2 linked regions of the Solanum lycopersicum genome follow. The protein of the gene in region 1 interacts with the protein of each later gene in a pairwise test. Links are inferred from orthologs where the notes say so. Each region holds a gene or a part of one and is shown on either strand. Other genes may lie near its edges.

Region 1 (4,255 bases):
AGTATGGATCATCTGGAGACTTATGATTACATTTGAAAGAAACTAAGGGAACTGAATCAATATGAATAAATAATTGAACATGAATCACAAAGCATCATTTTAACCTTGAATATTTGAACTGTCTTCCGAGTCCTCGGGATCACTTTCCATGGATGATGGTTTGGAAAACTTAATTTGTGTATCTTCTATATGTCTTGATTCCAGAAAAGGAGAATTTTCCAAATTTCCTGCATCATCCTTAACATATTATAAGGAAAATCAACAATTCATTACTACAACCTATGACAATCAGCCACTAGATTACAACTGTTGAGTCACAATAAGAAGGATACTGATGATTCTTCGGGTGTATTGGACTTATATTCTCGTCTAAATCCATCAAAGCTCTTGACCTTACAAATTCCCTCAGTTTTTGATGTTATATCTATATGATCATCACCATGCAGTTGCCCCAGATTGCTTCTTGGTGCAAATCCTGGAAAAGATTTTCTGCCAGGTGTTTTCAAAGCAAAAACTGGGCTTTGATTGTCAGACTCCGAGTCCAATGCTTTCTTCTTGAATTTTTCTGCTGAGTTTCCTTTCTGATCTATATGTTCTTGTAGATTTCTCAGCTGCTCAGTCATTTCCACTACAGGGGATTCTAGGTTACCAGCATCTGGTTGGACCAACTTGTCATTTTTCTCCTGAAATAAAGTAGAGCCATCACCAGGATGTACAAACTTCTCAGGAACTGGTACTCTTCTACACTTATTGTTTGTGTCTTCATCTTTCATTTGATTGTTCTGCTCACAAACCTTAGGTGCTTCCATGTGGTGACTCTTCCTCTTTCCTCTCCTTCCATATACCATCAAAGGACTACTAGTGCTAGCATCACGTAACGTCCTAGAAAGCAGATCTTTAGGAACGAAGACATTTTTCTCTAAGTGGTCCTCTTTACATGCTGGTGGTCCCTTTCTATTTTGTGATTTCAACTTAGCAGGGGCTCTTTTTCGAGCTAAAGAACGAGTAGTTGGTCTCCTAATAGCGTACCCATAACTTTGGGTATCACTTTCTATAGTATCTGAATTTTGCTTAGGTTCACCAACATGATTTCCACTGTTTTTCTGCTCTGGTTCCGAGGCTTTTGCACCCTGCTCGGGAACTAGAGAATTTGGACACTGCTTGGTTGGGGAAGAAACAGTTCCTAAGATTTCCTGAAGCTTCAATCTTAAAGATGCATTGCCTGTATTTTCTGCTTTCTCGGGCATGTCTTTCAGAGCAACTTTGGGTGCATATTTCCCCCTTCTCTCTATAGAAGCATCCTCCTTTACCTGCTTGGATTTTTCAAACTGCAAAGTCCTTGTCTGGGTTAAGAAAGACCTTAAGGAACACTCTGCTGGTCCTACCTCTACTCTGTGTGATGTGTTGCACATCTCAACTACACCCTGTGCAGTTGAAGTTTTCTGTACTTGAGTATCTGCCTCTGAGGTTGGTTCATGGTGGAGGGCTTTAGTGGATATCCAAGGAGATGTCTGCTTCTCTGTGGGCTCTCTTTGATTTCTGATAGTAGGAGTGCTCACTATTTCCTTCTTGTTTCTGTCATTTGTGAAATTCCCCTTGCTTGAAGTTTTCTGAGGCATTGTTGTCCCATTGTAAACACATATCTCTTTGCTAGAAGTTTTCACTGCTGCCAAGTGAGTCTGATCTTCAGCTTGCTGTACTTTCTGAGTTCTGCATTTTGAAACTGAATCTATTACAATTCCAATGGACATCTTTCTAGATTGACTGGATTGGTGGTAATTGCTGCCAAAACTCCAAGTGTCACTGGCAAGGTCCTGATAAGAACAAAATAATAGTGTTTCAACATCTAGCTTTCTAAGCATACGAACATGACATCAGATCCACACAGAGCGAGGGGTCGACCTTTCTGGTCCTAAGAAATTTTGAAAATTAAACTCCACATCGAGCTGACAAACTAAGAAATTTAAACTAATCGGAAAAGTCAAAAGACAACAGGGACGGAACAATATGCATATACGAAATCTGCAAATTGCTTCAAGTAAATAATTAACCCAGATTCAAATTGCAAGCTGACTACTTACATCTCGTAATTTTGACTTCCTGTTGACGTCCATAGCTGCAAATTCAGCTGATCCAAAGTAAGCGTGTTACCTGAGTTCTGAAAATGAAAGCAGAAAGAATGATTAATTAAGCTTACCCATCAAATTCCACCGTTATAGTTTTACATGTACTGCTAATTGCCTTCACAAACACACGCCATACTCACATAGAATGGAATTAAGCTTCATAGACTAAGACTCTAGGTCTCTCTTTCACAAACACACACATGTGGAACAGAGAATAACAGAGAACTTCTAATACTAAATAGTTATCGGTATCTACAGCATAACCACATATAAAACGTTCAGATTCAAAACCCATCCAAAAATCCAAATCACTCGAGAACAATTTCTGTACTACGTACTTCCCCATTCATAAACAAAACGCCAAATCAAAGCTTCGTTAAGAAAAGAAAAACTAAATCTATCAGCGAACGATCAAACATCGGGTGAATCTAGAATCTCCAACAGCTACAATTTACAGAAACTTCAGCGGGAACGAATATATGAGGATTAACTTTACATGCATTGTCGATCATGGAGATATTGTGAATTACTTACTACAAATGAGCAGAGACGAGATTCACCATGCGCCTCCGTTCGTTTCTGAGCTGTGAGAAGAAGAACTCGAGTCGATACTACAAAGGATTTTGGGGTCCTTTTTGAAATTTTAGGAAATGGGTAGAGTGCGTACGGGTGATTTTGCGTGATCAGACTGAGAAAGAGGCGGGAAAAGACGAAACAATGGAGCGTGTACGTCGCTTTCACTCTTTTATATACAACTGCGTTTTACACCTTTGTTTGGATGGGTTATTTCATATTTTGATTCATAATGTGTGTGTATACATAACTTTGTACCCTATTATTTTACCACTTGGATATTGTATTGTATTATGTTATATTATAGATATTATTTTTCACCATAACATAATATCACACATTCAGACAATATGAATGATACATCACAAAAGAGAAATAATAGGTTATGTGTAGAGTGATATAAAATAGTAATGTAAAGAAACATTTAAAATTACTAGATATGCAATAATATAAAATGAAATTTTTTGTCATTTAATAATAATGAATTTAACAATATATTTTTTGGATAAAAACTTGGTTTGCGTGTGTTTTAAACTCGTTTCTTTTAAAATAACACAAAATCTAAACTCAAAACCTATTAAAAGTTATAAAAATTAGTAAAATTTAGAATCATTAAGCGATGTAATCATCATAATGATCATAAGCATTAGTAGACATGTGTTCTAATCAAGTATAAATTTTTTATCTCTCAAGAAAATATTCAATTATTTGTTTTATTCGATACAAATTGTATAATTTTTCTCAAACTTGTAGTTTTCTTGTGTACATCTAAATGTTATGTGTAGTTCTTTTATTTAGTTACTCCTTTTTAATGTTTAAAGAATTGATATTGTATACAAACTTAAGATGAAAATGAAAGATGCTAAGACAAGCTTGCCATAAATTTATTCATCTGTGCTTGACGAAGATGATGATGTGTTGTGTTATATACGTCATAAGTTTTATGATATTTTTTCAAGAGTTTATTTTTTGAAAAAGTGTATATATTAGCAAATTATTAATTTAAATTGAATGTTATAAAACATAGTTTGGTTTTATTGTATTCCATAGTAAATTGTTGCTATTTTTGCCTCTTTTCAGCTGTAATCTTGCTCGCCATTCTCGTTATTGTTGGCAGTCGCGCTCGACTCTCTATCATTTATACAAATACAAAAGTATAAAATGTGTTTATGTTTGTATAAAGCGAGAGAAAATTGTACATATACATATATTTTCGTTCCTCTCTCTACCTTCTTCCAGTCTCGCTCTCCACTCTCACTCGTCTCTCTCACTTTATATAAATACAAATGTATACATCGTGTTTGTATTTGTATAAAGCAAGAGATTTGTATATATAAGTACAAATGCATAGATTTTCGTCCTATACACATATGTTTATACAAATACGTTATTCCTTTGCCAAGTTTTCTTTTGTCTTTCTCTAAATCTCGCTATACAAATACAAATTATACAATTGATTCTTTTGCAGTACGTATACCGAAACAGATTATACAATTGATTCTTTTGCATATGTATATAGTGAATTAGTCAGCTTCTTTTGTATATATGTATAGTGA
Region 2 (4,171 bases), on another chromosome or scaffold:
ATTTAGAGCCTCCTCGTCAGTGCAGCCTCTAAAGAAAGGAGGTTCATAATCAGCAGGCTGCACAACCAGCAATTCTGTTACAAAAGATTAATTTGACTAAAATATGACAAGCTGGGTGATTTTTGAAGAAAAATGATATTAAAAAGGTGAAGTGGAAACAAGTAAAGCTTGGAAAATTCTATGAAATGCATTTGATATGACTAAGCAGTGTTTTCAGTGCATGAGTAGCCCAAGAACCATTTATCGGCACAACTACAGGAATCAATTTGGGGCTCAAACTCAAAAATTAACGTAAGCTACAAAATTACAGAAGTGAGATGACTTCTAAGGAGAAACCTTATTTTCTGAATGTCAAAAAGGGATGATTACAATTGCAGCTTCTTAAAGGCAATGTGCTTACAGATGCCAATATATAATTTGCATGCTACAATATATGGAAGTTTAACATTCCCCCGAAACTCAAACATTGAGAGGCAAGCTAAAAGAGGAAAAGGGAAATAAAAAGAAAAACAGAACAAGCAAAATTGAGAAAAGGGCATACCGTGATATCATCATGATAAAGAAGCTTCATCAGTATAGTTCGCTGAGAAAAAACCAAGAGAAACAAACCTTAGCAACCAGATGATAGGAGACAATTGTCAACATTAATGAACAACGAAGCGATGCTTTTTAGGAAAATTAGAAAGTTTTACCTCTTCTGGCATCTTATCAAGAGTTCTCATCAACTGAATCAGTGTACGAACCATTTTACAAGCAGAACTCCTGAAATATACTTCCCTCTCAACTCAAAAGGTTCATGTAATCCAAAAAACAACCAGCATGAGACTGATAAAGTAAAAAATCCTTAGACCAATAGTTACCTCATTTGATTGGGTGTTATTTCAGTGTTTGAGTTACACTTGAATGTTCCCCCTTTCTTCATCCCAATACGATTGACATTCATTGACACTTCTTCAGAGTCGGAACTTGAATAACTGAAAGAGACTGCAAGTAGAAAACTAAGTGTATAAGCTATTGTCACAAGCCAGACTACTGAAAGTATCAGCTCTTCTTTTAGCAATTTCTTTGTCTCAGGCAACACAGATATGGTCTAGATAGTAATCTAGTCAGTTTCAGATGTGATTAGCCAGTGTAATTATGATACTAAAATCAATTTGAAGTCATCACTGAACCAACTTATCTTAACTCTTCTTACATGCATATTCCTCAATCATTGGTCCATCAACTGCTTCGCACACACAGAACAGAAGTGTTTTCAGATATTTCTTCTGTAATGCATCATAAACACCTACGAACACAGAAGAAAGTAGCGTTAAGGAAAGTGGCGGTAAGAAATGACAAGGAAGAATATAACTGTAAGGCTTAGTTTGAAAACTAGCAAAAAATCAACATACCTTTTTCCATCCAATCAATAAGTCTACGTGACTCTGCATCCATTGGCATTAGCTTCTTGATCTTCATCTCTGCTTGTGATATAAGTATCCAGTAAATTAATTTGAAATACTGAAACAGAAGATATTACAAAAAACAAAAAAATAAATGAGAAAGGTTACCTAAGGCTGGAACAGATTTATCACTGAAATATTTCTCAGGAAAGAGGCCTCTGATGTAACTAATGTTGAATATAGCAATACGCAGAAGGTTCCTTGTCTGTTTTTGAAAACCATGGAGAAAAAAGTGAATCCAGATAATTAGCTTGTAACACTTAATAACTGCATAAACAAGTTTCTATTTCCTGACAAACAACTTCAGCGATAGTAAACTGGAAAGTTTACAAAGTGACAGACAAAATATCTAGCTGTTCATTTGATTGTAACTAAACATCATGAGTTATTTCAGTAACTGGGATACGATAGCATTCAAAGAAGATAACGTCAGAAGCACCCAATTCATGGAGACTATGCAAATCGAGAAAACAGAAGAACTTAAACAACTTATACTTATTAGCTTCTTAGATCAGGCTCATTGATCTAGAACATATCCTACGCATCTCGTTTTTTAAAATACATAAAAACAGATTCACTCAACTATATAGAGCAAAAATACAAATCAACTATCTAGAGAAACAAGCAACATGAGTCAATCGGAAGTCAACATCTACAACCAGAGATTATACATTTACATTTGCCTCATACATCAGTTGAACGAAATAAAACTCAACATAGAAGAGGTTACAAGAGCCAGAAAACTCTAAAGAATGAACTCAAAATACACACACAACACAACTTAAATCACAACTGAGTATAAAAGAATCATTGATTAGCCTCCAGATTCGACTCACATGCTGTCAATAACCATAAAAATCGAAGTATTTAAAACATCAGAAAGTGATAAGAGAAAAAACTACACAACTCTCAAACAGTTCAACATAACGTGTTTCATACAAGCACTTTGCGCTATCAACGTTCACAAACTAAGTGCTATCAACGTTCACAAACTCGTCAAAAACGTAAAAAAACTGATCGACGCTAAATTGAACAGAGCAAAAAACACAGCTCTAGTAACGTAATCAAAAAGCAAATATGAGATCGATCATTTACCAGAAGGAGTGAATCCTGCTCAGTAATCTCCGATTCCTTCAATTTCTGTGCCACAACCTAAAAAAAACAGAGAATGAACGCGAGAGTTAAGCAATAGGTGAAGTATAACAAGTTATTCAACGAATTCAAAGAGCGAGTTGAGATGGAAAAAGCTGTTGCTCACCATTGTTGACAGAGAGAAACGAGATTCAAGCGATTTGGAGAAATTTGAAGAGAACAATGCTTTTCAGAAAGCTTTTGCTCAGCAAATGAAGAAGATGGCGGGGAGTACAGTGAGAGTGAGTTTATATAGTCGGAGAAAAGTGACCACGGTTAAATGGGAATTAACTATGGTTAACTGAGGAATGCGGAATGCGTGATCCAGTGGCTTGTTGAGTAATTTTGGAGAAAGGCAGGGGTTTTTGGTCAGTAAGATGTGTTGCTAATGTTTTGACGTTTAAGCCTCCCTAATTTTACTTGAACCAATTTGTTTAAGTTGTAATTTTGTTTCATCAACTTTTTTTTAAACTATAGTTTTAACTTTATTTTAATTATTTGATAGTGAACTAAGTTCATGGATCACAGGAATTTGAAATTTTGAATCAACCTTCGCAATCATTCATTATAAACAGACGCGTATTTAGAATTTTAAAAAAATGAGTGCACTATACGAAAAGATGAATATAATATATAAATTTGATTGATTTTATCATTTGAACTTGTTATATATTAGAAATTTATATCACTATCTAGAGAGAGGTGCACCCAATCATGATCGTATTGTATAATATTTTGAATGTGGTCCATATATCTAGAATTAAGTATTTTAAAGAAATTATAATATTATTTTACATGACTCAAGAGGAAAGTACAAATTGACCTAAATTTAGTGACTCCTTATAAATACACCCTTGATTATAAAATATGAGCAATAAATTTGATATAAAACAAGAAGATAAATATCATGACATTTAGCAAATTTTAAATAAATGTATGTATATTTTATTCAATATTAAGTAAAATTCCAGATCATTAAGTGTTACGTGAATAATGTACGTAATTTTTTCTAATTCTAAATTTATATTTAATTTAGATTATTTTTGGACGGAAGTGTAATACAGTGAAGGCTATCATAATAAAATAAATTATCAAAATTTAAATTACAGTATGAAGTTTTAGAATGTCAAACTAAACTTTAGACTAAACAAATAAAGTTTGAGACTGTCAAGTCAACTTCAAATTTATATATTAATATATATAAAGTAGGCTTATTTAAGTAATATATGTTAATTTTAAAATAACTAAACTTATAAAAAATTATATATCACTTAAATAGCAATTTGCGGTCCACAATTGACTCAAGGCCCAAACATAGTCTAAGATAAGAGAATATATCCTTGAAGAAACTCTTTTCAATTTTTGTCCAAACAAAAAGAAATTTAAAAGATGATGATAATAATAATAATAATAATAGCATAATTAGTATAATTTCATGAACGATGTTTGAAAAAAATAAAATTTATGAAAATTTTATCACTATTTCGTAAAGATAGAGAAATTATTTTCGAAAAATATCGACACAAGTACAACTATATCAGATATAAACAAAAAATATAGCAATTACAAGAAAATAATGTAAAATCCACCACAAG

Evidence for each region. The genes of interacting proteins can lie anywhere in the genome.
Region 2: the proteins of meiosis-specific protein ASY3 (region 1) and meiosis-specific protein ASY1 interact in a two-hybrid assay, tested with the Arabidopsis thaliana proteins (2 studies listed by BioGRID). The link is inferred for Solanum lycopersicum from reciprocal best matches to the Arabidopsis thaliana genes ASY3 and ASY1.

The regions. Positions count from the first base shown.
Region 1 is NC_090800.1:74,289,840-74,294,094, forward strand, and holds the start of meiosis-specific protein ASY3, read right to left. Parts: upstream 2,801-4,255; 5' UTR 2,661-2,800; intron 2,159-2,660; 5' UTR 2,115-2,158; coding exon 2,082-2,114; intron 1,815-2,081; coding exon 333-1,814; intron 238-332; coding exon 105-237; intron 1-104. UniProt on the Arabidopsis thaliana protein: Required for normal meiosis in male and female gametophytes. Acts with ASY1 at the interface between the developing chromosome axes and the recombination machinery to ensure interhomolog recombination.
Region 2 is NC_090803.1:1,638,656-1,642,826, forward strand, and holds the start of meiosis-specific protein ASY1, read right to left. Parts: upstream 2,801-4,171; 5' UTR 2,707-2,800; coding exon 2,704-2,706; intron 2,598-2,703; coding exon 2,541-2,597; intron 1,651-2,540; coding exon 1,554-1,650; intron 1,464-1,553; coding exon 1,395-1,463; intron 1,289-1,394; coding exon 1,187-1,288; intron 985-1,186; coding exon 861-984; intron 763-860; coding exon 693-762; intron 584-692; coding exon 542-583; intron 58-541; coding exon 1-57. UniProt on the Arabidopsis thaliana protein: Required for normal meiosis in male and female gametophytes. Plays a crucial role in coordinating the activity of DMC1, a key member of the homologous recombination machinery.